7 linked regions of the Mus musculus genome follow. The protein of the gene in region 1 purifies or fractionates together with the protein of each later gene. This does not show direct contact. Links are inferred from orthologs where the notes say so. Each region holds a gene or a part of one and is shown in the gene's direction. Other genes may lie near its edges.

Region 1 (3,500 bases):
GCCACCGTGCCCAGGCCTGCTCCTAACGTGAGTTCTGCTTTGCTCTTTCTCCATCTAGTGTTCGGCTCATGAATGAGTTCACTAACATGCCAGTGCCTCCCAAACCCCGCCAAGGTGAGTCAGAGCTCGCGCCGGGATAGGCGCCTTGTCACTGGGGACACGGAGCGAGGGGGTGGCGTGTGGTGAATGTGTGGTCTTACTGAAAAAAGTGTCTATTTAAACCAAGGTGTTTTCCCCGTGTGATGGGAGTTTGGGTGGATTTGCTTTCACCTCTCTGTGGTCTCTTTACTTACCAGAATCTTCTGTTTTTTTCTTGCAGCTCTCGGGGATAAAATCGTGAGAGATATCCGCCCAGGGGCTGCCTTTGAACCCACATACATATACAGACTCCTGACAGTCATCAAGTCGAGCCTGTCTGAAAAGGTCTGGGGTGCTCTGTGGTTGCTATGGAAACTGCTCCCAAGAACTGGGGGAGGGGACCATGCCTACGTCCTAGAGCATAGGGGCCAAGGCAAGAGGATCTCTGGGAAGCTAAGCCTAGCCTGCTACAGAGCAAGTTGTAGATGACCCTGAAGTGGCTGTTGGCGCATGCCTCGAGCTGTGACTTGGTGGGGTGAGAACTGGGTGAGGTTTATGGTGGAGACACTCAATGACTTAACACGTGCCAGTTACCCACATTTAATAGCATTGAGACCCAAGGACGGAGTCTCACTGGCTCTGCCAGCCTGTGAATCCACCGCTGATGGGCAGAGCCTGGCTTCTGAGTCTGACCCTTGTTGCTGCAATGTGCTTGAGTGGGGGGGGGGGGGTTCCTCCTCGTCCTGGAGTGCTCCGCCTCCATCTTAGTCCTGCTCAGGCTACAGCAGTGAGTCCATCAACTCAGCCATTGTAGCCTGGCTTTTCCTAAAATCCTGCTAGCAGGTAACTAAGGGCAGGTGAGCGGGTGGGCAGGCAGGCGGGCAGGCGGGCAGGCGAGCGAGCCAGGCGGCCTTCCAGTGGTCATTGTCTAGAGCATCCAGCTGGTCTTCCAGTGCCAAGTCTAATGCATTGGCATGAGCAGTGCAATGCAGGTATAGACAGGAAGCTTACTCAGAGTGGAAAAATAGTAAGAGAATGCCATTTAAATGAATAGTCTGGAAGCTGTATTGCTTTAAATAGAGTGAGCATGGACTTGCAAACTTTATATGCCCCAGTACAGGGGAATGCCAGGGCCAAAAAGGGGGAGTGGGTGGGTAGGGGAGTGGGGGTGAGTGGGTATGGGGGACTTTTGGGATAGCATTGGAAATGTAAATGAGGAAAATACCTAATAAAAAATTAAAAAAAAATAGAGTGAGCATCCAGGTACACAAAGACACCAGCTGCACAACTTTAGCTTTTCCTTTCTCCTCACCCGCTTCTTTTCCCTCCCTCCCTCCCTCCCTCCCTCCCTCCATCCCCCCCCCTTCCTCCCTTCTAAGATAGGGCTTCTCTGTGTACCCCTGTCCTGTGCACTCTGTAGACCAGGCTCAGAGATCTGCCATGCCTCTATCTCCCCAGTGTTAGGATTTAAAATCCTGAGCCGCCACCACCATCCCACTAGCTTTTTTTTTAAATGCCTGTGATACAGCTTTTCTTGTTTTGGAGTTTCACTTCCCACTACTTGGGATTTGGGGTGCTAGGAATGCCTCCCAAGAGTGGGGATTAGAAGCACAACCAGAAGTGTAACGACAGTGTGCAGATGCAGTGGAGTGGAGGTGGAAGGCACCCAGGGACCTTCTAGAACTGTGGACGTTTTCACAGCGCTGAGTGGCGCTATTGTCTAAGACCAGCTTGTGTGTACCAGTATCTGTGCCTAGGAGGTTAGCTATAGAAATAGGCTACAGAGTTCTCATGGCAACTCTGGGGATTTGGGTTCACTGGTCTAGAGCATTCATCTAAGGTGTAGTTTGCTCTAGGTGCTGGGGCTTCTATAGGCCTTACTCCAGCTGGTTGGAATTAATGTGCCCATGTCTGTCCTCAGGGCCGGCAGGAGGACGCAGAGGAGTATCTAGGTTTCATCCTCAATGGACTCCATGAAGAGATGCTGAGCCTGAAGAAGCTACTCTCACCCACGCACGAAAGTAGGTTCTTCTGGGTGAGACTGTTTGCCTGATAGTGGCTTCAAGGAAGGTCACGTGTCTGTGCTATCGATACATACACATGGGCATGCATGTACATGTGCAGGCATGCACAGTTAGAAGTCTCCTGTCCATCAGCAGTGCTTAGCATACATCAAAAGCCAGCTGTTGTTCATTTCCTAGTAGAGCAGTGAGAAAGTTGGGCTTGGATAACTGAAATGTACCCAGCTCACGCACATGTTTCAACTTTTACTCTAGAGGGAGATTCTATAGTTCCTGTTCCGTTGCAAAGGCTTTGCTCGGGCTTAGGCTTCCGGGGGGGTAGAGTCCATCACAGCGGAGGGCACACTGGCAAGCTAGATGACCACGCTTACCCACACACAGCGAGCAGAGAGTGGACAGAGCATAGAGCCAGGCTGTAAGCCCCAGCCAGTAATGTCCTCTCCTCCAGCCAGCCTCTGCTGCCTAAGCAGTGCCACCAGCCGAGAGCTAAGTGTGGAGTTCCGTGAGAATTTCACATTCAAATGACCTCTGAGATACAGAAAGACAGAAGCGAGTGGGAAGACCCCCGTGGGTGCAAGCTCACTCCAGACTGCTCTGCTCGTTTGCCTTAGGGATGGGAGGTTGGCGATAATTGCCCCTGCTGAAGGCCTCCTCTTCGAGCATAGCTTCTTCTCTCAAGCCACAGAGTCTCTTCAGATTTTTCCAGTTGTCCAAAGACAACTGTGAAATGTGAACGTCTCTGGATTTTGAGACAAGGTCTTTCTCTGAAGCTCTGGCTGGCCTGGAACGCTTAGTCTTTGTGCTCTAGCCCGTCTCAGTGCCCTGCCTGCGTGGCATTTCCAGAGCTTGGTGTCTGAGAGTGTCCAGTGAGGCTGGCTGCTTCAGTTGCCTACTGTGACTTTCAGTGTAGAGCATAACTAGATCTTCTTATATGTGTGGATTTGCAAGACAGGATTTCTCTGTGTAGCCCTGGCTGTCCTGGAACTCTGTAGTCCTGGCTGGCCTTGAACTCACAGATCTGCCAGCCTCTGCCTCCCAAGTGCTGGAATTAGAGGTGTGGGCCACCACTGCTTGGTCACCTGTTTTGGTTTTGGGGTCTTTTTTCTTTGTGGGGTTTTTTGTTATTTTGGTCCTTTCTGAGTGTGTGTGTCCATCCATCTGTCCACCTGCCCGCCCACCCACCCATGTGCAATTGTAATTGTGTGTGCGCGCACGCGCTAGAGAGGTTTCTGAGGTAAGGTGCAGGTCAGAGGACAAATCAGGAGTCCGTTCTCTTCACCACGTCACCGCAGGAGTTACATTCTCATTGTCAGGCCCGGAGAACGTGGCTTCACCCGCCGAGCTTCTCCCTGGCCCTCATGAGTCTGTTTAGCCAGCTCTTATCATAGAATCTGTGCGGAC
Region 2 (3,500 bases), on another chromosome or scaffold:
CAGCTACTATATTTTTTTGTTTATTTTAACTTCTTTTATATAACTGAATTTGCTGGTTTATCCTCATGTAAATTCTATTAAGGAGGTTTGTATTATTGTATTAATTTTTTTAAAGAAGCAAATTGGAAGTTTATATTTTCTCAGAATTCAAATATAAGCTTTGACTATTTAGTATGTGATTTTTCACTCTAGCCAAAGTCTTAAATTGCCAATCATGATTTCAAGTGGTTTATATCCATTTTTGTTTGTTTGTTTTTGTTTTTGAGACGGGGTCTCTCTTTGTAGCCCTGTTGGCTTGGAATGCACAGAGATCCACCAGCTTCTTTCTTCCTCCTGAATTCTGGAATTAAAGTTGTATACTGCCACTTATCCATTTTGATACACATATGGAGCAGAGAAACAGAGAAAGACAGAGAGAGGGGAAGAGGGTGGGGTCAGAGTTCATATACCTGTATTTGCTAGACATCGTATTCCTTCTATACTTCTTAGCTTGTATGCTGTCTTCTTCCCCAGCAGAAGGGTGTCTGTGTCTAGAGTCCTTATCACAGTAGAAGTTGAGAGGCCATCAGTAAACTAAAGAGCATTGTAATACCTTTTTCTTATTAACATAAAATACCTATTTTCTGCAATTCTGTTTGTTGAGACTGGGCCTCACATAGGTCAAGCTGGCCTTAAACTTACGATTTTGGTTGTACCCAAGTACCGAGATTACAAGAGGGTACTGCCATGCCAAAACTGCTGTTTACTTTAAACTGTTAGATTAAATGCTTATTATTTGCCTTATATTGACTTTTTTACTGTTATATTGTGAATAGAAAAATATTAACTCATTAGTGAATGAATTGTTACACATATGGTATGTATGTCTTTGTGTGTGTGTGTCTATATGTATATATGTATGTGTCTGTATGTTCCTTGGATGTCCATCCTCTGGTGCCATCTATCTTGTTCAGACAGGGTCTCTAATTGGTCTGGAATTCACCAAGTAGGCTAGGCCAGCCTGTGAATCCCAAGAATCTGCCTGTCTCTGCTCCCCCATGCCGAAGTTTTAGGCATATATATGGTTACGTGGTACCTTAAAAAATGTATATAGGCATGGGCTAGGTTGGCTGAAGTGATAGCTGGTTTAAAGCACTGTTGTTCTTGCAGAGGACCCAGGTTAACTCCCAGTACCCACACAATGGCTTACAAACATCTGTAACTCCAGTTTCATGGCATGCCTTCTGGTTTCTGTGGGCACCAGGTATACATATGGCAAAACACTCACAAAATATTTCAAGAACTAAGAAAAAAACATATGCATGGGTTTTGGGTCATACATGCGATTGATTGATTGATTGACTGGTTTCCGGCTGGCCTGGAACTATATAAACCCTGGGCTGGTTCGGAACAGTCCTCTGCTTCATCCCCTTTAGTGGTAGGATTACAGGTGTGGGACACCATTCCTGGTTAGGGTCCCCTTTTAAATGTCATATGAATTATGTCTTTTAAATATTTGTAATATTTTCTAAGCCATTTTATGCTTCCCTAATGTCTGCAAGGAGTGGATATAGCACAAGGATACCGATACCCCTTACTGCCTCTGTTAACAAGTTGTATTGAATATGTTTATCATTCAGCTGCATACTCTCTCTTTTCCTTTTTTTTTTGGACTCTAAGGTCAGAATCTCATTTTTCCTGCACAGAGGCAACACGTTTCTCTAGTGTACTGATTCTGATATGATTTTGCTTAGAAAGTATGTAAACAGGTTTGTGAAGACTTGCCTAGTAAACCCATCTTTGAGAGGAGACTTGGGTATGTGTAGCTGCAGTACAGAGACCATTGACTGTCTGTTTGAATACACAGTGGCCTTTGCTTATTGGGTTCATAGATCAGAGCATTATTTAATATTTGAATAAATGAGGTATTTAATAACTACATTTTAAGAATATTCTTTTGTTATTGCTCTTATTTATTCTAATACTGAGTTAGATTTGATTGTTAGCCACTTAAAGGAGAAACTTTGGGATAACCCAGTTATAGCAATTTTGTATAATAACTTTAATGAAACTTTCCTTTTGAATTTGACTTCTCTTTTTCTTTTGTCTCCCTCCTCCCTCTGCCCCCTGGGCCTATCAGGGAGTCACAATTCCCAGTCAGAGGCGCTATGTATATTATTATAGCTACCTGCTAAAAAATCACCTGGATTACAGACCCGTGGCACTGCTGTTTCACAAGATGATGTTTGAAACTATTCCAATGTTCAGTGGCGGAACTTGCAGTAAGTGCTCTAAATTCTTAGCTGTCTGTGTGTCGGAAAACTTTTTAAAACCATATCTAAATGTATATGTAAATGTTTAGAAATACATTTACCAGGTTAAAAGGAGTATATTTCTGAAGTTGGAATTAATTAGTTCAGTTGTTCAACTCACTGGGTTAAGAAAGCTAACCCAATGAATTTTGGTGTTCTTTTTTTGTTTGTTTGTTTTTATGTTTTTCGAGACAGGGTTTCTCTGTATCGCCCTGGCTGTCCTGGAACTCACTTTGTAGACCAGGCTGTCCCTGAACTCAGAAATCTGCCTGCCTCTGCCTCCCAAGTGCTGGGATTAAAGGTGTGAGCCACCACACCTGGCAATTTTGGTGTTCTTCAAGTCAATTATATTTATGGGAGAAATATTCTATGTTATAACCACCAGATGCAGTCTCTGTTCTGACAAAATAACCGAGAGACTCTTGACAGATCAGTGTGAGAATCTGAGAGACACTCTTGACAGATCAGTGTGAGAATGGCCTCTGGCTACAACCAGGTCCTCATCAGAGGGAAACATGTTCACTGTCAGAGACAGAAAGAGAGGAGCCCTTCAAATATAGAGAATAAAAGGGTGTGTGAATTGGGATGTGTGGAGAAAACCTAAGTGTAGCTTTGAAGTCAAGCTCTCAGCCTGTGGCTTGGACTTGTCATCTCCTCACTGAGTTTGCTTGTTAGTAAAATAAAGAAATCTTGGTAAGTATGACGTCATGACATCAGTGTGTGCTTGTAGTAATTTCTCTTACCTTAGTGACACCTGGGAGTGGTCAGTCATGTTTTACACTTAAGATATTTTATTTGTATTTTCAATATAACGTCATAGTATCAGATGTCACTTATTAGAATCCCTTGATATTATTTTATGGATGTTTGCAGTTTGTCAGTGATTTTAGTTTTTCGCCTCCATGAAATACTTCATTAAATTAACTTGTTCTTTCTAAAATAATTTTTATGTAGAGAATCAGTTTCTTCGTCAGATAGGTGTGATTGCCCATGAGTATGGCAACTTTGTTAAGGGCCCCTAATTTATTTATATAGCTTGTTGGAAAGTTCTAAGGAACTTCCATACTGATTAAGTATATTAGTATAATTTTAAAAGTGTGAGTACAAGGCACAATGGACTATTGAAAGCAATTGACCTAGGAACTTCACTAGGTTCATTGAGAAGGAAAGGGGATAGGAACTCATGTTCTTCCTATAGTTTAGGCATCA
Region 3 (3,500 bases), on another chromosome or scaffold:
GACCGTGGGGACCGACTTGATCGTGCCAGAACACCTGCCACCAAGCGAAGTTTTAGCAAAGAAGTGGAGGAGCGAAGTAGAGAGCGGCCATCCCAGCCTGAGGGACTCCGCAAGGCAGCTAGCCTCACAGAGGATCGTGGTCGGGATCCTGGTGAGAAGGAAGGGAAGGCTTGTAGAGGAATGGGGGGAAAGGCTATTGGGTGATATGGGACTGAGTACTCCCCAACTTTCTTGAGAAACTCTGGATTCTTTTAAGCCGAGTCACTGAAAAGCTCTTCCCCTGTAGTGAAGCGGGAAGCCACTCTACCTCCAGTGAGCCCTCCAAAGGCTGCGCTGTCTGTGGATGAGGTGGAGAAGAAATCTAAGGCCATCATTGAGGAATATCTCCATCTCAATGACATGAAGGTTGGCACTGGGGAGGGACTAGTGATTGCTTGTAAGGGTTGGGGAAGGGGAGGCATGCTGACTGGCATGGTCTATATTGGCTGGGGACCCGGCAATGATGGTTTTCTTCTTCATATGTACTGCCTCAGGAGGCAGTACAGTGTGTCCAGGAGCTGGCTTCACCCTCCTTGCTCTTCATCTTCGTACGGCTTGGTATCGAGTCCACGCTGGAGCGTAGTACCATTGCTCGTGAGCATATGGGGCGACTACTGCACCAACTGCTCTGTGCGGGGCACCTCTCTACTGCCCAGTACTATCAAGGGTAGGATTCGTGTTAGTCCGTATCCGCATAGCTCACCAATTCCTTCTCCTTTGTGGGATTCCTGAAATCTCAGATTTTAGCTGGAGGTTGTCTCATGTCTGGAAAATGTTTCGGGGGGTGGGGGGGGGCTCCACATTTGATTTTTAGTTGTGTATTTCCCTAGAAGCAGGGTGTCTAACCCATCTCTAAATGCCCTGACCCCTTATTCCCTTTTCAGGCTGTATGAAACACTAGAATTGGCTGAGGACATGGAAATTGATATCCCTCATGTATGGCTTTACCTGGCAGAACTGATTACACCTATTCTCCAGGAAGATGGGGTGCCCATGGGAGAGCTCTTCAGGTAGGCCCTCCCTCCCTTTGTGGGTGTGAGAGACAGAATGGAGGAAGTGAGACAAGTTACAGACTTGGGTTTGGAGGCCATCGGGATTGATGATCTTTCTTACAGGGAAATTACGAAGCCTCTGAGACCCATGGGCAAAGCTACTTCTTTATTGCTGGAGATCCTGGGTCTCTTATGCAAGAGCATGGTGAGTTGAACCTTTCAAAGGTTGATATATTCAGAGACTTTTTTATGGCTTTGGCTGCCTTGGGTGACCATGGAGCCTCTTGGTCCTTTGTTGGCCTGGAGTATTTGTAATGCTAGGACTACTTTTGATACTTGAAAGAGGAAAAGTGTTAAATAGGTAGTTTGTGTCGTGAGTTCTTCCTGGGCTGAAGGAAGATTGGCAAAGAAAGACCCTAGACCCGTGGCTAATTCATTTGACTGGTGTTTCTTTGAACAGTTCACTATAGACCGAGATCCTAGGATTATAGCAGTTAAACAGTGTGAACTCCAGCTTGGTACAGAGCAGAGGAAGAGATGGGAGCCTCAGTGATTAGAGTGAAATGGGAGACAGTATCACAGTATCTCAGGACCGGCCATGGAGTGTTTGCAATGGAAGACCACCTTTGATGAGCACTACAACTATTTTATGAAAGCTAATTGGTGTCTGGAATGTAGGGCCTTGAAAACGTCAAGTTGAGAGTGGTGCCCGTGGTTGTAAGAAGTTGGGTATGTAGTGTGAAGTTTGAATGTCTAGAACTCTGAGGGGTAAGACAAGATTGAAAGGGACGTTTTGTGAAGATGAAGGTGTAGGTATGAAGATGAAAACCTTATTGTGTAAGGTTTTCTGAATGTAGGAAACCAATAGGCATTTTGTTTGGTTTCTTGTTTTTTTGTTTTTTTTTTCGAGACAGAGTTTCTCTGTAGCCCTGGCTGTCCTGGAACTCACTCTGTAGACCAGGCTGGCCTCAAACTCAGAAATCCATCTGCCTCTGCCTCCCGAGTGCTGGGATTAAAGGCGTGGCTACCACGCCCGGCAGATCCAGTGATTTCTTAAGAGTTCTACAAACTCTAAGTGATACTTTTCCTAGATGCGCTCCCCCATCCTAATGTCATACCACTGAGGTGGTAGTGAGTTCCTATTCCTTGTGATGTTTATTTAATCTAGGCATAGAAGGGTGGTGCCTATGTAGTATGATTATTGAACTATTGAGTCCTAAGAGTCAAGGGCCATGTGTAGAAGTAGCTATTGAGATGCTGAATTGGTCTTTTGTTTTTCAGGGTCCCAAAAAGGTGGGGATGCTGTGGCGAGAGGCTGGGCTGAGCTGGAGGGAATTTCTAGCAGAGGGCCAAGACGTTGGCTCATTTGTGGCTGAAAAGGTTTGACACTGGAGTTCACTTATTCTGCATTTGGGGCTAGCTAGTCTCATCTTTCCCTCATCTTTTACACTAGTTTTGGTCATTTGTTTATAGAAGGTGGAATATACCTTGGGAGAAGAATCTGAAGCTCCTGGCCAGAGGACACTTGCCTTTGAGGAGCTTCGTAGGCAGCTAGAGAAGCTGCTGAAGGACGGCGGCAGTAATCAGCGTGTGTTCGACTGGATAGACGTATGTTTTTCGTGGATATGGGGGAAGGAAAGAGGTAGTTTTTGAGGTGGATGGTTTGGGAGTAACAAGAGTGAATACTTAGAGTCTATTTGTTTTTCTGTACAGGCCAACCTAAATGAGCAGCAGATAGCATCCAATACATTAGTTCGAGCCCTCATGACAACTGTCTGTTATTCTGCAATTATCTGTAAGCCAGGGGAGTGGTGGGACAAGGGTGAGCCAGGCAATCTAATGGGGGGAAAGGAGTTTTGGTCTTGGCCTTCTAGGGCCAGCCAAGCCAGGTGAAGTCTTCATTACTCTGTTTTGTTCCCCCCCCCCCCCTGTAGTTGAGACTCCTCTCCGAGTGGATGTTCAAGTGTTGAAAGTGCGAGCAAGACTGCTGCAGAAATACCTGTGTGATGAGCAGAAGGAGCTACAAGCACTCTATGCTCTCCAGGCCCTTGTAGTGACCTTAGAACAGCCTGCCAGTAAGCCAGGCTGCAGGGGTGAGGGTGGGACAGAGGGGCTGCCAGATAGAAGCTGGTCATGGAAGGTACTCAAGCCAAGAGAGGCGGGGGAAAGAGCAAAATGCCATGGTGATTTGATTGTTACTTACCCTACCCTCTGCTTGTTTCCTTGCCTACAAATGGAGTGAGTTAATCTAAGCCTGGAGGGTTGATTGCCTGCCCGCTTTGTGCTTGACCAGTAGATGACAGCAATGCAGAGGTGATAAACAGTAGCATCTTTCAGATACCATGTGCCCATCTGTCTGATACAAGGCTGAAGTGCTTGCCTGCCTTTTTGGTTTTTTCTAAGACAGGGTTTCTCTGTGTAGCCCTGGCTGTCCTGGAACTCACTCACTCTGTAGACCAGGCTGGCCTC
Region 4 (3,500 bases), on another chromosome or scaffold:
AAATCAAATGTAGGTTTTTGTACTTGAAGACCGGGAGTCTGGGTTCTTTCTGATAATTCCATTTAAGAGAAGTAGCACTCAGGTTTTTGAGACAGGGTTAGGGTCAAAGGAAATACATGGGCTTTGAGGTGATAGAGAAAGGAATCATGGCAAAGGTTAGGCCTATGTCAAGTGTCAGTTTCTTTAACAGCTCTGAGCATTTGCAAGTAGGAACTAGGAAGGGGCTTGGTACATTACACAAATGTGATCTTAAGCTGTTAGAAGGCATGCTAGAGCTAGAGAGATGACTCAGAGGTTCAGAGCACTGACTGTTCTTCTAGAGGTCCTGAGTTCAATTCCCAGCAACGACATGGTGGCTCACAACCATCTGTAATGGGATCCGATGCCCTCTTCTGGTATGTTTGAGGAGAGCTGCATATACATAAAATAAATAAATCTTTAAAAAGAAGGCATGCTAAAGTTTGGTTAACCTTAAAGTTTGTCTGAGCTGAGCATGGTTTGTACTCAGGACAGCTTGTGATAGTTGGTTTCTTTTCTTCCATCATATGGGTTTTGAAACTCAAACTCTGGTCATCAGCCTTGGTGGTGAGTACCTTTTATCTGATGAGCCTTCTTGATGGTTCAGCTCTCAGTATTTAAAAAATTCCAGTCTCCTCTCTTATTCTGAAACTTCTCACCTGTTGTATAATGTGGACTAGGTGTTAATTTTTGTTGCTGTCTTTGAGTCTAGCCTCCTTTTACAGAGTCTCAAAAGAGACTGAGAAAGGTTCACTACCACTTGAGAGTCAAGGTTGGTGACTGGAGGAAGGCAAATAGCCATTGGGCTAATGAGGCTTCAAAGTACCAAGGTTTATAGGTCTTGAGAGGCAGGAGAAGCCCTCCATATATCAGCTGCTTGAAGGCTGCCTTAGGTCTTAGAAGTGCCAAAAGTGGGAAGCTTGGGAGAAAGCAGTACTGATAGGGAATGACCTTTTTTCTTGTAGCAGATGGCTGAGGACAAGGCCTCTGTGAAAGCTCAGGTGACATCATTGCTCGGAGAACTCCAGGAGAGCCAGAGCCGTTTGGAGGCTGCCACCAAGGATCGGCAAGCTTTAGAGGGAAGGTGAGTGGGGAGGGGAAGCTAACCCAGGAGGCCCCTTCCAGGGTTTTTAATGAGACAAATGTAGGAGTTCTAGGAATTCCTCTCTCTGAAAGGAAGGACCGAGTCTTTTTAGATTCCCCAGAGCCCTCAGGGCTTCCTTGTGAGAAGCCTGGTCTGGTATTCAGGGATTTAGTTCTAGCTGTTGCTGGAAAGACTCTGAGTCTGTACTGGGTGCTTAGTTAGGGCTTCCGTTGCTGTGGAAAGATAGCACGACAATGACAACTTTTATAAGGAAAACATTCTATCTGGCTTACATTCAGAGGTTTAGTCCATTATTGTCATGGTAGCAAGCATGATGGTAAGCAGACAGACATGATGCTGGACAGGTGTCTGAAAGTTCTTCATCGGGATTGGCAGGCAGCAGGAAGAGAGAGTAAACCAGTGAGCCTAGCTTGAGCATCTGAAACCTCAAAGTCCATCCCCAGTGATCCGCTTCTTTTAACAAGGCCACACCTACTCTTAACAAGGCCACTTATCCTAATCCTTTTAAATAATTCCACTCTCTAGAATCCTACGGGGGCCATTTTCACTCAAAACATCATACTGGGATCTAGCTTATTCTTTAGGAAGCACTGCAGGGCCCCTGAGACCACACTCAAGAGCTCACTATCCAGACTGATATGCAGTGGGATTCTACCAAGGCAGAAAGTCCTAGGTGAACAAGACTGGATACATTCCACAGCAACCCTGTGAATAGCACAGAGCCCTCATGAACTACTTCTCATTAAAGACTATGGATTCCATGTTTCTGTTGGGAGTTGTTCACGTTGGTATCCTCTGCCAGGCATGTACCAGTATTTCTGAATTCTGGCAGAAAAGTGAGTTTGACTGACTTTGTCAACTAATGGTCTTGGGACTGTCACTCACTCTCTTTTGCCAAGGGGGTTAGGTTGCCACATGAGATCATTTAGTTACAGGCATGGGTACTGTTGTGCCTCTCATACTGCCTTGCTGCTGTCCTCCATATAGTTAGTGAAGCTAACAGGCCTTCTCAGTGCAATAGGTAGTTATTGTGTTTGTGGAGTAGTGGGTTGGGGCTCCTGTCCTGTGGGAGGGAGGAGAGTTTGACTTGGGCTCAGAGAGCACTGGTGGTGGGTTGGTGGGGGGAGGGCAGTGTGAGAAAAAGCCAAAGGGGAGCAGGCCCAGTAGTCCAGATCTGCCTTGTCAAAGTTGGGATGATCTGCTGTCAGTGGCTTCCTCAAAGACACATGGAAATGTCCATCATTGTCTTTGTAATGAGCACACAGGGAGGTACCAGGGTGTTGAGGCTAACACCGGAACTAGAGTTTAAGGGAAACTGTGGGGTACTGTAGGCCAGGATCAGAAGATATGGGTGATAGAGGTAAGACACCATGAGCTTTTACAGTGAGGGTATAGAGGCAGAGATGAATTCTCTGCTGAGACTATTGATGCTATATCTTGTCCCATGGGGCTGTACAACCTAGGTATGGAACCTGAGCCTCTAGTGAGGGTGCCTGGGACTAGAGCTAAACTGTGAGTTGCACAGTAGTTCCTGCCTATCCTTGAGTCCAGTGCTAATGAGCTCACAGCCTTCTCAGGGTGTTCTTTTTTTGTTGCATGTCAGGATTCGAGCAGTTAGTGAGCAGGTCAGACAGCTGGAGAGTGAGCGGGAGGTGCTACAGCAGCAGCACAGCGTCCAGGTGGACCAGCTGCGTATGCAGAACCAGAGCGTGGAGGCTGCCTTGCGAATGGAGCGGCAGGCTGCTTCAGAGGAGAAGTAAGTGCCTGGGAGGGTTGGTACCAAGAGATCTCAGAGTGTGGAGGCTGCCTTGCGAATGGAGCGACAGGCTGCTTCAGAGAAGTAAGTGCCTGGGAGGCTTGGTACCAAGAGATCTCACAGCACCCGTGGTGCTTTCTGCCTTTTAGGGAGCCCTGATAGGGACTGATTGTGTATAAAAGGGCTGATTTTTCTCCTTTTGCCTTGCTAATGACAGAGTCAACTATTATATGTAAACAGGAATATTTTCTACCCATATTCATGTTCACTACATGTCCTACATAGGTTCTTTTCATCACAGTTAAAATATACTCTTGGTGTAAGGAAAGCAAAGAGCCATGGTGCCTTCAAGCTGGTCCTAAACACTCCTTATCTGGGCTCACAATGCCTGTACAGGCTCTCAACCTGCTATTGGTATCTGGTTCAGCATCCTTTTGAGTTTTCTTTAATTTAGAACAGTCTCCCTGCCTCTACATTTATTTTCTTTTTGGTGCTAGAGATGGAGGGTAGGGCCTCAAACACACTAGGCAACAGTTCTATTCCTGAGTTGTACCCTAGCCCTTGTTAGAAACATTCCAAGATGTTGGCTTTAAGGAAAACATGAACTATGTAGCAGCCAAA
Region 5 (3,500 bases), on another chromosome or scaffold:
CTTCTCATGACACCATCTCAAGAAAACCAAACCAAACTAGACCGCACAGAGAGCAGAACAGAGTTACAAGTGTAACGTCACGTGTAGTTGTATAAGTATTCAAATAGCTGGCATTCATGTAGTAGCTTCATGTTTTATGAGGAAGGAAACTAAAGAAGTGGTCCTTTAAAAAAACAGACCAGCTGAATGTATTGCATGCCTATAGCCTGAGTATCGCACATGGATGCCAAGACAGGGCTATATAGGCCTGGTATCAAGGAAAATCGAGGTGAGGTGAGGGGCAAGAGGGTTATAAAAAGGGAGAAGGAAGGAGAGAGACTCATTTATGTTCAGTCTTGATCTAGATCTGCTAGAGATTGAAGTGTAAGACTGCTGAACTCTGAACTACTATCTAGCACTAAAGGACGGATGTATTTTCATTAGTTACTTTTTAAATAGCGTGAAAACAAAATTTAATTTGTGTTTTATTTCCTTGTTTTGTTCAAGGTTCAAGTTCCTCCTCCTCCTCCTCTCCTTCCTCTCCCTCCTCCTCTCCTTCCTCTCCCTCCTCCTCTCCTTCCTCTCCCTCCTCCTCCTCTTCCTCCTCTGTGATAGAGACAGTTCATTAACAAAGAGAAGGCACGCCTAAATTTGGAAGTGGGGTAGTGGTCTGGGAAAAGATATTTGCTTAAAGTTGTAAAATTTAATTTAAAAGACAGACTTTATTTTAAACCATATATGTATGTGTGTTTGTGTGAGGGTATGTGTACATTAGTGTAGGTGCTGACAGAGGTCAGAGCCCCCCAACCCCACCCCCCCAATCCTCACCCTTCAGCTATTGCTACGGGCAGTTGTAAGCTGCCTTGTGTGTGTGTGTGTGTGGGGGGGGTGAGAACTAAACCAGGGACCTCTATAAAAACAGCGCAGGTTCTCAATGGCTGAGACATCCCTCCAGCTCAGAGAATTTATTATTTTTTTCCATTTTTTAAAATTAGGTATTTACTTCATTTACATTTCAAATGATATCCCGAAAGTCTCCAATACCCTCCCCCAACCTGCTCCCCTACCCACCCACTCCCCCTTTTTGGCCCTGGTGTTCCCCTGTACTGGGGCATATAAAGTTTGCAAGACCAATGGGCCTCTCTTCCCAATGATGGCCGACTAGGCCATCTTCTGATACATATGCAGCTAGAAACACGAGCTCCGGGGTACTGGTTAGTTCATAATGTTGTTCCACCTATAGGGTTGCACACCCCTTCAGCTCCTTGGGTACTTTCACTGGCTCCTCTATTGGGGGCCCTGTGATCCATCCCATAGCTGACTGTGAGCATCCACTTCTGTGTTTGCTAGGCACCCGCATAGCCTCACAAGAGACAGCTATATCAGGGTCCTTTCAGCAAAATCTTGCTGGCGTAGAGAATTTATTTTTAAGATCAACGCTTTGGCTAGGCTTGGTGGTGCACCTTACCCAGGAGGTTAGACAGCAGTTTGTCTCCAGCTCAGGCTCCTTAGTGAGACAGGGCCAGCTTGGGAATAAATAAAATGCTCTTGCAAAAACAAGCAAGCAAAGAAAGAAATAAAAAACAAGTAAAAGTCAAAGCAAACAAAAACACATTGCTTCCTCATTGCTGCTGAAACACTAATGAGGTAGGGGAGGCCTGTTGCTCGCCAGTGCCCACAATCCCGTCCACCTCAACCATTTCCTTGTTTAAATGCTTCAAATGGTGATGGACCTAATTTAAAAAAAAATCCCTGTGCTTTCTATGTTCATGTGCTTATTTTTTTTTGACTGCTCAAAGAAAAGGTAATGAAGTGAATTAAAAAGATTCATTTGTGTTTTCTATCTTAATTCCTTTGATTTGAGAAAAATTCAAAATCTAGATGCTACAGGGAATATAACTAAAGAAAAAAGGCATGCGTCATGTTCAAGCATGCATAAAATGGGCTCTTGGGGAAATGTACAGTTTGGATGTCTTTCCTTGAGGTCTGTGTGAATAGGAGCACTCATTTTGAGAACAGTGTTTACTGCTGTCTATAGGAAGGAAGCACTCTCGTCACTCTGAGGGTTCGTTTTCCCCCTGAAGGCAGCCTCGGATGATTCAGCTGGTTTGCAGCTAGTTAGAATCCGTGTCTCCAGTGCTTCCTTCACGTAGACGCACTCACGCACGAAGAGGGCGAGTGTTCTGTGAGCTCCACTGCCCTTGGCTTGCTTCTGCAGCTCCAGCTTCCTGAACTGTGATGTGAGGGTTTTAGGAGAAATGGGTTCAGAGTCTGTCACTACAGACTTGAATCATGGGCCCAGCGAGTTGGCTCAGCTGGTAAAACATTTGCTGCCAAGTGCCTAGAGTCTGACCCCTGAATCCTGGGTAAAGGTAGGAGAGAACTGATTCCACAGAGCTGTCATCTCAGCTCCACACCCACTGTGGCATGTGCACACCATACACACGCACATGCATGTGCACACACACACACACACACACACACACACACACACTAAAAGTTACTTAAAGGTGAGGGTGGGGGAACAAAAAAGGTACTTAAAAAAAACTATCCCTGTGGCTCAAATCAACATTGATCATGATGGCTCAAGGGTTGACCTTATTGGTAGGAAGTTTGAGGGTCATAGTAAGGTAGTACAATTTGACCCATGGATCACAAGTTACAAAATAGCTTATTTTTAAACAGGTAATACTGATAAGACTAGTATCTTTATGTGTGATGTGCAACAACCACTATAGATACCATATTCTGACCACTGATTTCTTTAAAAATTATTTTCTTATATTTTTCATAAAGTATTTGTATTTGAAGAGTGTTGACCGATGCTTTTTGATATTGTGATTAATACAGTTAGCATTCTCTATGCAGATTGTACGCAGGCCCCGAGGTGGACATCTGGAGCAGCGGGGTCATTCTCTATGCTTTGCTGTGTGGAACCCTCCCTTTTGATGATGACCATGTGCCAACTCTTTTTAAGAAGATATGTGATGGGATCTTTTATACCCCTCAGTACTTAAACCCTTCAGTAATCAGCCTTTTGAAACATATGCTGCAGGTGGATCCCATGAAGAGGGCCGCAATAAAAGATATCAGGTAACTCACTTTATCTGCCTACTTGACCAACCAGCCAACAAACCATCTGTCTGTCTGTCTGTCTGTCTGTCTGGACTGTGTAGTCTTGGCTATCCTGGAACTCACTCTAAAGACAAGGCTGGCCCTGCCTCCCTCTGCCACCCGAGTGCAGTGCTAGGATTAAAGGCGCGTGGTATTACCATTGCACAGCAATATTAGGTGATTTTTAAACCAATGTATTTTTCTACCTTTTCGAGTCTCTAGATACCAGAGAAATTTCATTTTATTTTTTATTTTTATTTTTATTTTTTTTTTTTGGTTTTTTCGAGACAGGGTTTCTCTATATAGCCCTGGCTGTCCTGGAGCTCACTTTGTAGACCAGGCTGGCCTCGAACTCAGAAACCCGCCTGCCTCTGCCTCCCGAGTGCTGGGATTAAAGGCATGCACCA
Region 6 (3,943 bases), on another chromosome or scaffold:
CCCTCTGGACTCAGGGAGACTCATGGATGAACTAAATCTACCCAGAGGGCAGTGTTCTCCACGATGGTTGCCTGTTGTCTGACCATCCTCCCACTCCCCCACCCCCCACCCCCAGTGCTGGGAGTCTGATTCTATTCCCTGTTGTTACCTCCAGTGCCTAGAGACTCGATGCTAGCTGGTGCCCCAGAGGTTTCCGTAGACCCTCTGCTTTATAGGTGTTTATAACCCCATACTATGGGGGTGTGGGTTTGGTTTCCGAGGCCACCCTTCCTCCCTGTGAACGTTCCAACACGATTTTCAGGAAGTCGGGAGCCTTAGCCCTGGTCCTTGCTACCTCTGCCTCGCACCTGCCCTTATTGGTGTTTCACAATGCAACTCTAAACACGTCCGTCCTCAGCTGAAAGTCCTTCCGTGACTCCCCAGTGCCTGTAAGGCAAAGTCCAAACTCCTCCAAAGACCCGAGGCCAGGAAATCGGACCCCTCAGGGTCTGCCCAACACCAACCTCATCCTGGAACCTGCTCTCAAAGGTTGGACAGGCAGAAGTTACTGATTCTTACCCCGGGCCTTTCCCCTCGGTGCTTCTTCACTTCCTCTAGGAAGTCATAGACACCCTCCCCTGTCAGGTGACCGTTCATTGACAGTCACAGCTGTCTCTCCCCACCTCCTTTCATCAAATCACACCTCCCTTTAGTATTCGAATCCTCTGTTTATTCTGTCTGTCTCTCTCTCCCACGGCCGGGAAGCCATCCTTGCGTAGGGCATCCCTGGGTAGTGTTTTGTTCAGGGCTGTGTAGACAGTTCCAGGAACCCCTAAGCGCGTGCATATCATCGCACTTTCTGGCTCCCCAGCGCCCAAAGGTCAGCAGCTCGGGGATGTTGCGGGGCACCGCGCTCGTCGTGGGGCAGGCGCGGCCACCAGGGGTCGCCCGAGGAGCTCGGAAGCCGCGCGGTCCGGTCCGGGAGGAGCCCAAGCGGAATCTCAGCGCCACGCGGCGGGAGCCCCAGCAGCCCAGGCGCACCTGCTCCGGTCTCAGTCTCCGGCCGCGCCGCCGCCAGCCATTGGCTCAGCCTTGACAAAGGGGCGTGACCAACAGTACGGTCACGCCCCCAGCCCTGGTACTTAAAGGAATTTGCTGCTGCTAGGGGATCGTAGTGTGCGGCCGGGCCTCGCGAGCGGAGTTGACTACCGACCTTGCGCGACCCGGTGACCCCGACTACCTAGGTCGCTCTGGCCAACATGCCGCGCTCCTTCCTGGTCAGGAAGCCGTCCGACCCCCGCCGGAAGCCCAACTATAGCGAGCTGCAGGACGCGTGTGTGGGTGCGTGGTGGGGTGCGGGACGCGGGCGGCTGGGGGGGATCCCAAGGGTGCTGGGGGGAGGTGAGAATCGGGCTCTGCGGGCGCGACAGGTGGATCTGGAGCTCCGGGTCTTGGCAGTTGGGATCCACCGAGGGTGTCTTTGACCCGGGACGGGGAGGCTCCGGGAGTTGAAGACTCGAAGGCGGGGGTAGCTTTGCGGAGTCCGGGCGGGGGAGGGGAGGGGCGGGCGGGAAGCCCCCCCACCTGGCGCCCCGAGAATCCGCTCAGCTGACTCCCTGCTGTCTCTTCTCTTCCCGCAGAGTTCACCTTCCAGCAGCCCTACGACCAGGCCCACCTGCTGGCCGCCATCCCTCCGCCCGAGGTCCTCAACCCCGCCGCTTCGCTGCCCACCCTCATCTGGGACTCTCTCCTGGTACCCCAAGTGCGGCCGGTTGCCTGGGCCACCCTCCCGCTGCGGGAGAGCCCCAAGGCCGTAGAGCTGACCTCGCTGTCCGATGAGGACAGTGGCAAAAGCTCCCAGCCGCCCAGCCCGCCCTCGCCGGCGCCGTCGTCCTTCTCGTCCACCTCGGCCTCCTCCCTGGAGGCCGAGGCCTTCATCGCCTTCCCTGGCTTGGGCCAACTTCCCAAGCAGCTGGCCAGGCTCTCGGTGGCCAAGGACCCCCAGTCGCGGAAGATCTTCAACTGCAAATATTGTAACAAGGAGTACCTCAGCCTGGGCGCTCTGAAGATGCACATCCGAAGCCACACGCTGCCTTGTGTCTGCACGACCTGTGGAAAGGCCTTCTCTAGGCCCTGGCTGCTTCAGGGCCACGTCCGCACCCACACTGGTGAGTGAGTGTGCATAGCTGAGCTCTGAGTCTGGGCTGTTTGGCCTTAGACCCTGGGGGGACTCAACACTTACTCCTAAGGCTGCCAAGCAGTGGACAAAGTAGATGTTGGTTGTTCTCCATTCTGTACCTTGCTGTTCGAGGCTAGGAGTGAAGAGGTGTTCCCTATCCGGGCTCAACCCACACTGTAGAAGTCAGACAGGATATTGCTAGACAGGATATTCTGCACCTGGCCTTGAATCCTGAGTCGAGAACTTCCCCAGTTTCCTCGTTTCTAAAATGTATCAGAGAACACTTCGTGGGGTCTTTGTAGAGTGAAGTGCTAGGTGCAGGTGCCACTAAGAAATGACTTCCCAGTGACTATGAAGACGGCTCAGTGGTTAGAGCACTGGCTACTCTTCCAGAGGTCCTGAGTTCAATTCCCAGCACACATGGTAGTTCACAACTTAACTAACTGCCTGTTAAGAGTCCAGTTCCAGAGGACCTGACACCCTCATACAGACATACATGCAGGCAACATACCAATCCATGTAGGACAAGAATAGAATAGACACATCTTTTTTTTTTTTTTTTTTTTTTTTTTTTAAGAAGAGAAACAAAGACATGACTTTGCTGTCCTCTCAGCCTTGGGCCACGTGGGAAGCTTCTAGAAGTGAGGGAAGGCTTCAGCCAGGCTTGGTGGGGGTTCCGGTTGGGCTGCTCTTTGGAAAGTGTGTCAGGCTTTGGGGTAGAGCTGTGCGTCTCTTGTGGTGGCCAGCATTGGGGCAGTGAGGCCTGGGGGTGGCAGGGAGGTATTTGCAGGTCTCACTGACACCTTTATTACTTGAATAAGATTACCCGTTTCCCCCCCCCAGGCACGGATTGCCTCAGATTTAACCTATAAAAGTGTAACAGGCTGCCTCTCTCCGGCTGGGTTGCTAAGCTGTGGGGCTCTACTTTGGGGAAGAGCTGAAGCCCTCAGGGTCCTAGGCTGCCTCCGACCACCCCCCACCCCCCAGGGACTTTGTTTTGATGTAAAGGCATGGCTCAGACAAAACCCTCCTTGAAATGCACCACCCAGTTCTCTAGGAGTTCCATTGTGTGTCTTAATGGTAGCCCAGGGGGTGGGGGCCTGCAGGGTTAGAGCAGGTGCACGGGGCAGCGGTGCCCAGCACCTGTTCTTGGCCGCAGCTGCTGGCTCATTGCACGGCAGGCCCCTTTAATCCAGGGGGTATCACATGTACAGTGTCCCCCTTAGTGGCCTTTGTCCCAGCCGGCCTGGTGCCGATTTCACACTTGCCAGGAACACTATGAAGGCGTCTGGGGGTCGGGGATCTGTGAAGAGAGAGAGAGTGTGTGTGTGTGTGGGGGGGGGGGTGTCTACACTTCCTGTGCAAGCCCAGAGACTCCCAGCTCCATCCCACCCTGTGTTATCTTGAAACCTCCCTTTTGTTAAGTACTTCAGTTCGCCTGTCCCTGCTAAACGGACAGGTAGTGGTTAGGCCATTCTAGGGAGGGGGCAACACCCCTTACTTGTAGGGACCCACAGATTGCCAAGGTCCACCACCACCCAGGGCTTTGGAGCCCCACCTGTGTAGCTGAAGACTTGTGTGGGTTTGTGCCCCCTAGGGGGGCTGAAAGCGGCTCTGTTCAGTGAATACCTGCTGAGTGGGTGGATCCCGCAGGATCCCTGCTGAGATTTCCTCTATCCAGAGGCTCAGCACACCCAGGCGCCATTCCTCAGCCCCGAATTCCATCACTAGAATCCAACCAAAGGGCACCGCCTGTGGACTAGCAGGCTGGGAGGGACGGGAGGC
Region 7 (4,277 bases), on another chromosome or scaffold:
CCCATCCACCCACCCATCTACCCATCCATCCATCCATTCACTGATCCCACCTCCTCTACTAATCAGGTTCACTTTCACCCCACACCTACCACCAAGGGTGGGTGACAAAACACCCAAAAGAGTTGTCCACATGCTACCAGTCTGAAGGAAATCGCCACGGCAAGGTGGCAGGGAAGGCCTGTGGATTTAAGGGTTTGCCTTCTGAAGAGGTGACACAGCACAGGTGACGCTGCGCACTGGGCCTGGGCCTTGGCTCCCGCGTGGGATGTGTGCACCTGTCACAAGTGTGCAGATGCGTGTGTTCATACTGTTGCAGGTAGCACCCCTCACCAGCACCCAGACTTCCCTGGCCTCCCTCACCCACATCCCCCTACCTCAGGCGACTCCAGACCGGAACCCAGCGTCCAAGCAGCCTCTCTGGTTACCCGCTCCAGCTGCGAGCCACCAGCAGCAGAGTAGAGGTGACACCCGATCAGGTTGGGGTGGGGGAGCGGGGGACGGATGAGCCAAGGGAGGAGACAAGCTGCTGTTAGCCAGCTTGCTCAGATGGGCAGCCCCAAGGACGGCCTCTCCCACCTCCTTGTGTGCTCCTGCCTCCTCGAAGCCTTTCTTGGGGTCTCCACGGGGATCAGGAGGCTTCGGTTGTTATATGCTGCCATTGACCCATCACATGGCTCCTGTGTCTGTTGATTACCAACAGGCAGAATGGTCAGATAGTGCCTCCCATCTCTAGATGGCCACGGAAGCAGGGCTCTTCACCTCTCTCCTTGCATCTCTGGGCACCTCTGGGTAACACGTGGAACTCGCCCAGTTCTGTGGACCTAACCCTATGCTCTGTGATATTCCGGGAGGTGCACTCCAGAAACTAACCCAGGAAATGTTGGCAGGGGGCCCAGAGGTCTTTCCTCTGCCCAAGAACCCCAGTTTTCCATTCATTCTCTCCTGTAGCCAGAGTCAGGCAGACCCTGGATGACAGTCACAAAGGTTAGGGTATCATGTAGCCTAGCGTGGCTTCGAACTTTCTGTCCCCTCCTGCCAGTGCTATAAGCACTCCGGGCAGGGCTCTACACACTGAGAACTGTGGATTTTTGTTTTGCTTTGTTTGGTTTCATTTCTGGGTTTTGCTGATGTTGTCTCTTTTGAAACAGGGAGTTGGTCTGGGACTCGCAATCCCCCTGCCTCGACTCCTGTGAGTGGCCTCATCACTTTTCTGGCTCTGGTCGCGGATCCCAGGACTGGGGAATCCACTAAGTCAGAGAGGTAGTCTCGGCCAGCACTGAAGACTAAGCTTGCTGCATCAGGAGGGCGCATGCGCTCTGGAAAGAATGCTGTTTTTCACCTCCACGTACCCACCCCACCCTCAGGCACGTATCTAGGGAAGGCGGCTACTCTTTCCCGACCGTCCCTTCACCACTTCCGGCGGAAGCGGCCTCAACAAGGGAAACTTTATTGTTCCCGTGCGGCAGCGCCGGCGACGATGTCGGTGAATTATGCAGCAGGGTTGTCGCCTTACGCGGATAAGGGCAAGTGCGGGCTGCCCGAGGTGAGAGCTGCAGTGTTCGAGTCACCGAATGACCCCAGACGGGGAGCGGCCGGGCGAAGCGGGGCATTGTGGGAACAGCATGAAACATAGAGTCTAGACAATGGGAGGGACTTCCCTGGAAGGAGGGGGCGGGAAGTGACACCCACTGCTCAGGCTGGGTGACACGGAGGAACCTGGGTCAGGGAAGGAGTGAGGGGCTAATGGGAACGAGACCAAATCGTCAGGTCAGGGAGTGGACGTCTTAATTGTCAGGGAAAACCTGGAGCTGTGGGAAGATCTGCAGGGCCGGAAGCTGGCACCCTTTCCTGGGGGCATCCCTGTACCCCACTCTGTACTCCTCCCTGAATCTGGGCCAGATGGATCCTGAGTGTGGGGCTGTCAGTCTTTGTTGTTTCTGAAGGGGTGTAGTAGGGTGGAGGGTTCTCTCTTTGTAGCCCAGGCTGGCCCCGAACTCACAGGAATCTTCCTGCCTCTGCCTCCCGAGTACTGGTGTTAAAGGCCTGCGACACCATGCCCTGCCTGCCTCATGTTAACGGAGCCCCTAGACAAGTAGAGCTGCATCTTGATTTAGGGGAGAGAGGTGGGTTATCTAAAGTCCAGGATGGGGGATGACGTCAGTGGGGAGGTCACGTGGGCCACAACCAGACCAGGACAAAGGAGTGGCTGCCTGCAGGAACAGCACTCTGGGAAGAGGGCTCGGCATGTGCAAAGGCCCTGGGGTAGGACACAGCGATGTGTTAAGAGTGTGGCTGGAACTGAGGGATGTTGAGAAGGGGCAGACAGAGCATTGACCCACAGGAGGCCTGCCACTTGGGAGGTCACGTGTTGCCTCCTCCTGCCCTCTGACCCTACAGATCTTCGACCCACCAGAGGAGCTGGAACGCAAGGTGTGGGAGCTGGCCCGGCTAATGTGGCAGTCCTCCAGCGTGGTTTTCCACACGGGCGCCGGCATCAGCACCGCCTCTGGCATCCCCGACTTCAGGTCGGTGAACAATGAGGGGAAACTGAGGCAGGGCTCTTGCTGATACACCTCTAGGGACTAAGGTGAGGTGGCAGAAGGACCTTTCAGTTTTCCTATGTCTCTGAAAGGCCCAGCAAAAACTCCACTTGCCCAAGGATCAGAGCATGCCCACATAATGTAGTAGCTGCAAGGCATGCTGGGAAATGTATTCATGCAGCTCGGCCAGCCACTGGGTTTTCTAGGGTCAGAATGACTCAATGTTGTGGAGTGACTAGCTCACCCATAACCTTCGGTGGCAGCCTATGACCACTGTAAAGCATTCTGGGAACCCGCAGCCGGTCTTAACCAGTACTCAGCCCCAGCTCCACTAGCTCCCCTGCCTTTGTTTACCCCCAGACCCTCAGCCCCTCCGCCTCTTTCATGAAGACGTCCCATGCTCTTTAGAATTCTTGCCTACCCGGCAGTCATTGTCTCCACCACAGGATACAGAACCACCCTAAGAACGGGGCTGGGGCCAGCATGGGCTGACTTCAGCATTAACAGGAAGAGCCCACAGCCTGGAAAATGAATGTTTGACCTCTGTGCCTGTCCTCCTCTGCTTGCTATCCTCAGAGGCCCCCATGGCGTGTGGACCATGGAGGAACGCGGCCTGGCCCCCAAGTTTGACACCACCTTCGAGAATGCTCGGCCCTCGAAGACCCACATGGCCCTGGTTCAGCTAGAACGCATGGGCTTCCTCAGCTTCCTGGTCAGCCAGAACGTAGACGGGCTGCACGTGCGCTCGGGCTTCCCCAGGTCCGATGAGTCGGCCGGGGGGCTGGGGCTCAATTGCATCTCTTCCTCCTTATTGGACCAGGGTGCCCTAGCTCAGGGGCATTTATTAGGGATGCAAAGAGGGGGAAGGCTCGGAGCCCAAAGCCGGGCAGTACTTGGTCAAATTGGGGGGATGTAGGCAGGGTTCCACCCCTCACTGGGGTGGGGTGGGGAGGTTGGCAGGGGCTTTAGGGCCAACTGACTGTTGCGGCAGAGGGCGAGTACATGACAGAATTTCTCCATGTCTTGGCTACCCTGGGACTTGCCCTGTAGATCAGGCTCACAGAGATCCACTTGCCTCTGCCTCCCAATGGAGGGATTAAAGGGGTGTGCCGCGGCTAGCCAACAGGTTTTTTGTAGTGGGGAGGAGGTATTTGTGAGTTTGTGAAGACACCGTCAGACAGCTATGCATGCAACAGTTCCTCAGAATGGGACAGGCTGGGACATCCTCCAGGAAAGAGAAGTGGACGCCCCTTGTGAGTGAGCCCCCTAGGAAGGCTTTCTGGAGGAGGAGGCAGACTGAGCAGCTGGTCCAAGCCCCAGGATCTGGGAAGGGTCCTTACTGGCATCTTCTTCTGCAGGGACAAGCTGGCAGAGCTGCACGGAAACATGTTTGTAGAGGAATGTCCCAAGTGTAAGACGTGAGTGTTGCCCGTGTAACACAAGACCCTGCTCCTCCCCTAAGCCAGCTCAGGGTCCTAGCATGGCCTAGAGAAGGCCAGAGACAGTCAGATGAAAACAGACCAACAAAGGCTCGTAGACAAATGGGGCAAACCCTTTCTTCACAGCCCCCCAAGGGAGAAGCTGGTCATGCCCTTGGCAATGAGGGGTTCTCCCTGCCCTGCCTTTGCTATGGCTCTGGGCTGGGTGTCAACATGGCTTGCACACCAGAGCCTCGGGGTGTTGAGCAGGACTGTGCCTCCTGAGCTTTGGCCCCTGACTCCCTCTTAGGGGTTCTTT

The links.
Region 2: the proteins of Usp10 (region 1) and Pten purify together in Homo sapiens (affinity purification with western blotting; 4 studies listed by BioGRID, with this or other methods). This does not show direct contact. The link is inferred for Mus musculus from reciprocal best matches to the Homo sapiens genes USP10 and PTEN.
Region 3: the proteins of Usp10 (region 1) and Eif4g1 purify together in Homo sapiens (affinity purification with mass spectrometry; 4 studies listed by BioGRID, with this or other methods). This does not show direct contact. The link is inferred for Mus musculus from reciprocal best matches to the Homo sapiens genes USP10 and EIF4G1.
Region 4: the proteins of Usp10 (region 1) and Ikbkg purify together in Homo sapiens (affinity purification with western blotting; 3 studies listed by BioGRID and IntAct, with this or other methods). This does not show direct contact. The link is inferred for Mus musculus from reciprocal best matches to the Homo sapiens genes USP10 and IKBKG.
Region 5: the proteins of Usp10 (region 1) and Prkaa1 purify together in Homo sapiens (affinity purification with western blotting; 3 studies listed by BioGRID). This does not show direct contact. The link is inferred for Mus musculus from reciprocal best matches to the Homo sapiens genes USP10 and PRKAA1.
Region 6: the proteins of Usp10 (region 1) and Snai1 purify together in Homo sapiens (affinity purification with western blotting; 4 studies listed by BioGRID, with this or other methods). This does not show direct contact. The link is inferred for Mus musculus from reciprocal best matches to the Homo sapiens genes USP10 and SNAI1.
Region 7: the proteins of Usp10 (region 1) and Sirt6 purify together in Homo sapiens (affinity purification with western blotting; 4 studies listed by BioGRID, with this or other methods). This does not show direct contact. The link is inferred for Mus musculus from reciprocal best matches to the Homo sapiens genes USP10 and SIRT6.

Annotation. Positions count from the first base shown.
Region 1 is NC_000074.6:119,948,360-119,951,859, forward strand, and holds part of Usp10 (ubiquitin carboxyl-terminal hydrolase 10), read left to right. Parts: intron 1-58; coding exon 59-114; intron 115-319; coding exon 320-423; intron 424-1,999; coding exon 2,000-2,099; intron 2,100-3,500. UniProt on the Homo sapiens protein: Hydrolase that can remove conjugated ubiquitin from target proteins such as p53/TP53, RPS2/us5, RPS3/us3, RPS10/eS10, BECN1, SNX3 and CFTR.
Region 2 is NC_000085.6:32,809,577-32,813,076, forward strand, and holds part of Pten (phosphatidylinositol 3,4,5-trisphosphate 3-phosphatase and dual-specificity protein phosphatase PTEN), read left to right. Parts: intron 1-2,119; coding exon 2,120-2,261; intron 2,262-3,500. UniProt on the Homo sapiens protein: Dual-specificity protein phosphatase, dephosphorylating tyrosine-, serine- and threonine-phosphorylated proteins.
Region 3 is NC_000082.6:20,686,227-20,689,726, forward strand, and holds part of Eif4g1 (eukaryotic translation initiation factor 4 gamma 1), read left to right. Parts: coding exon 1-151; intron 152-286; coding exon 287-405; intron 406-533; coding exon 534-706; intron 707-923; coding exon 924-1,049; intron 1,050-1,154; coding exon 1,155-1,236; intron 1,237-2,312; coding exon 2,313-2,411; intron 2,412-2,504; coding exon 2,505-2,639; intron 2,640-2,744; coding exon 2,745-2,826; intron 2,827-2,965; coding exon 2,966-3,106; intron 3,107-3,500.
Region 4 is NC_000086.7:74,436,181-74,439,680, forward strand, and holds part of Ikbkg (NF-kappa-B essential modulator), read left to right. Parts: intron 1-983; coding exon 984-1,102; intron 1,103-2,726; coding exon 2,727-2,879; intron 2,880-3,500. UniProt on the Homo sapiens protein: Regulatory subunit of the IKK core complex which phosphorylates inhibitors of NF-kappa-B thus leading to the dissociation of the inhibitor/NF-kappa-B complex and ultimately the degradation of the inhibitor.
Region 5 is NC_000081.6:5,171,361-5,174,860, forward strand, and holds part of Prkaa1 (5'-AMP-activated protein kinase catalytic subunit alpha-1), read left to right. Parts: intron 1-2,847; coding exon 2,848-3,072; intron 3,073-3,500. UniProt on the Homo sapiens protein: Catalytic subunit of AMP-activated protein kinase (AMPK), an energy sensor protein kinase that plays a key role in regulating cellular energy metabolism.
Region 6 is NC_000068.7:167,537,052-167,540,994, forward strand, and holds the start of Snai1 (zinc finger protein SNAI1), read left to right. Parts: upstream 1-1,143; 5' UTR 1,144-1,238; coding exon 1,239-1,320; intron 1,321-1,619; coding exon 1,620-2,147; intron 2,148-3,943. UniProt on the Homo sapiens protein: Involved in induction of the epithelial to mesenchymal transition (EMT), formation and maintenance of embryonic mesoderm, growth arrest, survival and cell migration.
Region 7 is NC_000076.6:81,624,738-81,629,014, reverse strand, and holds the start of Sirt6 (NAD-dependent protein deacetylase sirtuin-6), read left to right. Parts: upstream 1-1,477; coding exon 1,478-1,543; intron 1,544-1,692; exon of another isoform or gene 1,693-2,123; intron 2,124-2,397; coding exon 2,398-2,525; exon of another isoform or gene 2,526-2,587; intron 2,588-3,116; coding exon 3,117-3,299; intron 3,300-3,898; coding exon 3,899-3,958; intron 3,959-4,277. UniProt on the Homo sapiens protein: NAD-dependent protein deacetylase, deacylase and mono-ADP-ribosyltransferase that plays an essential role in DNA damage repair, telomere maintenance, metabolic homeostasis, inflammation, tumorigenesis and aging.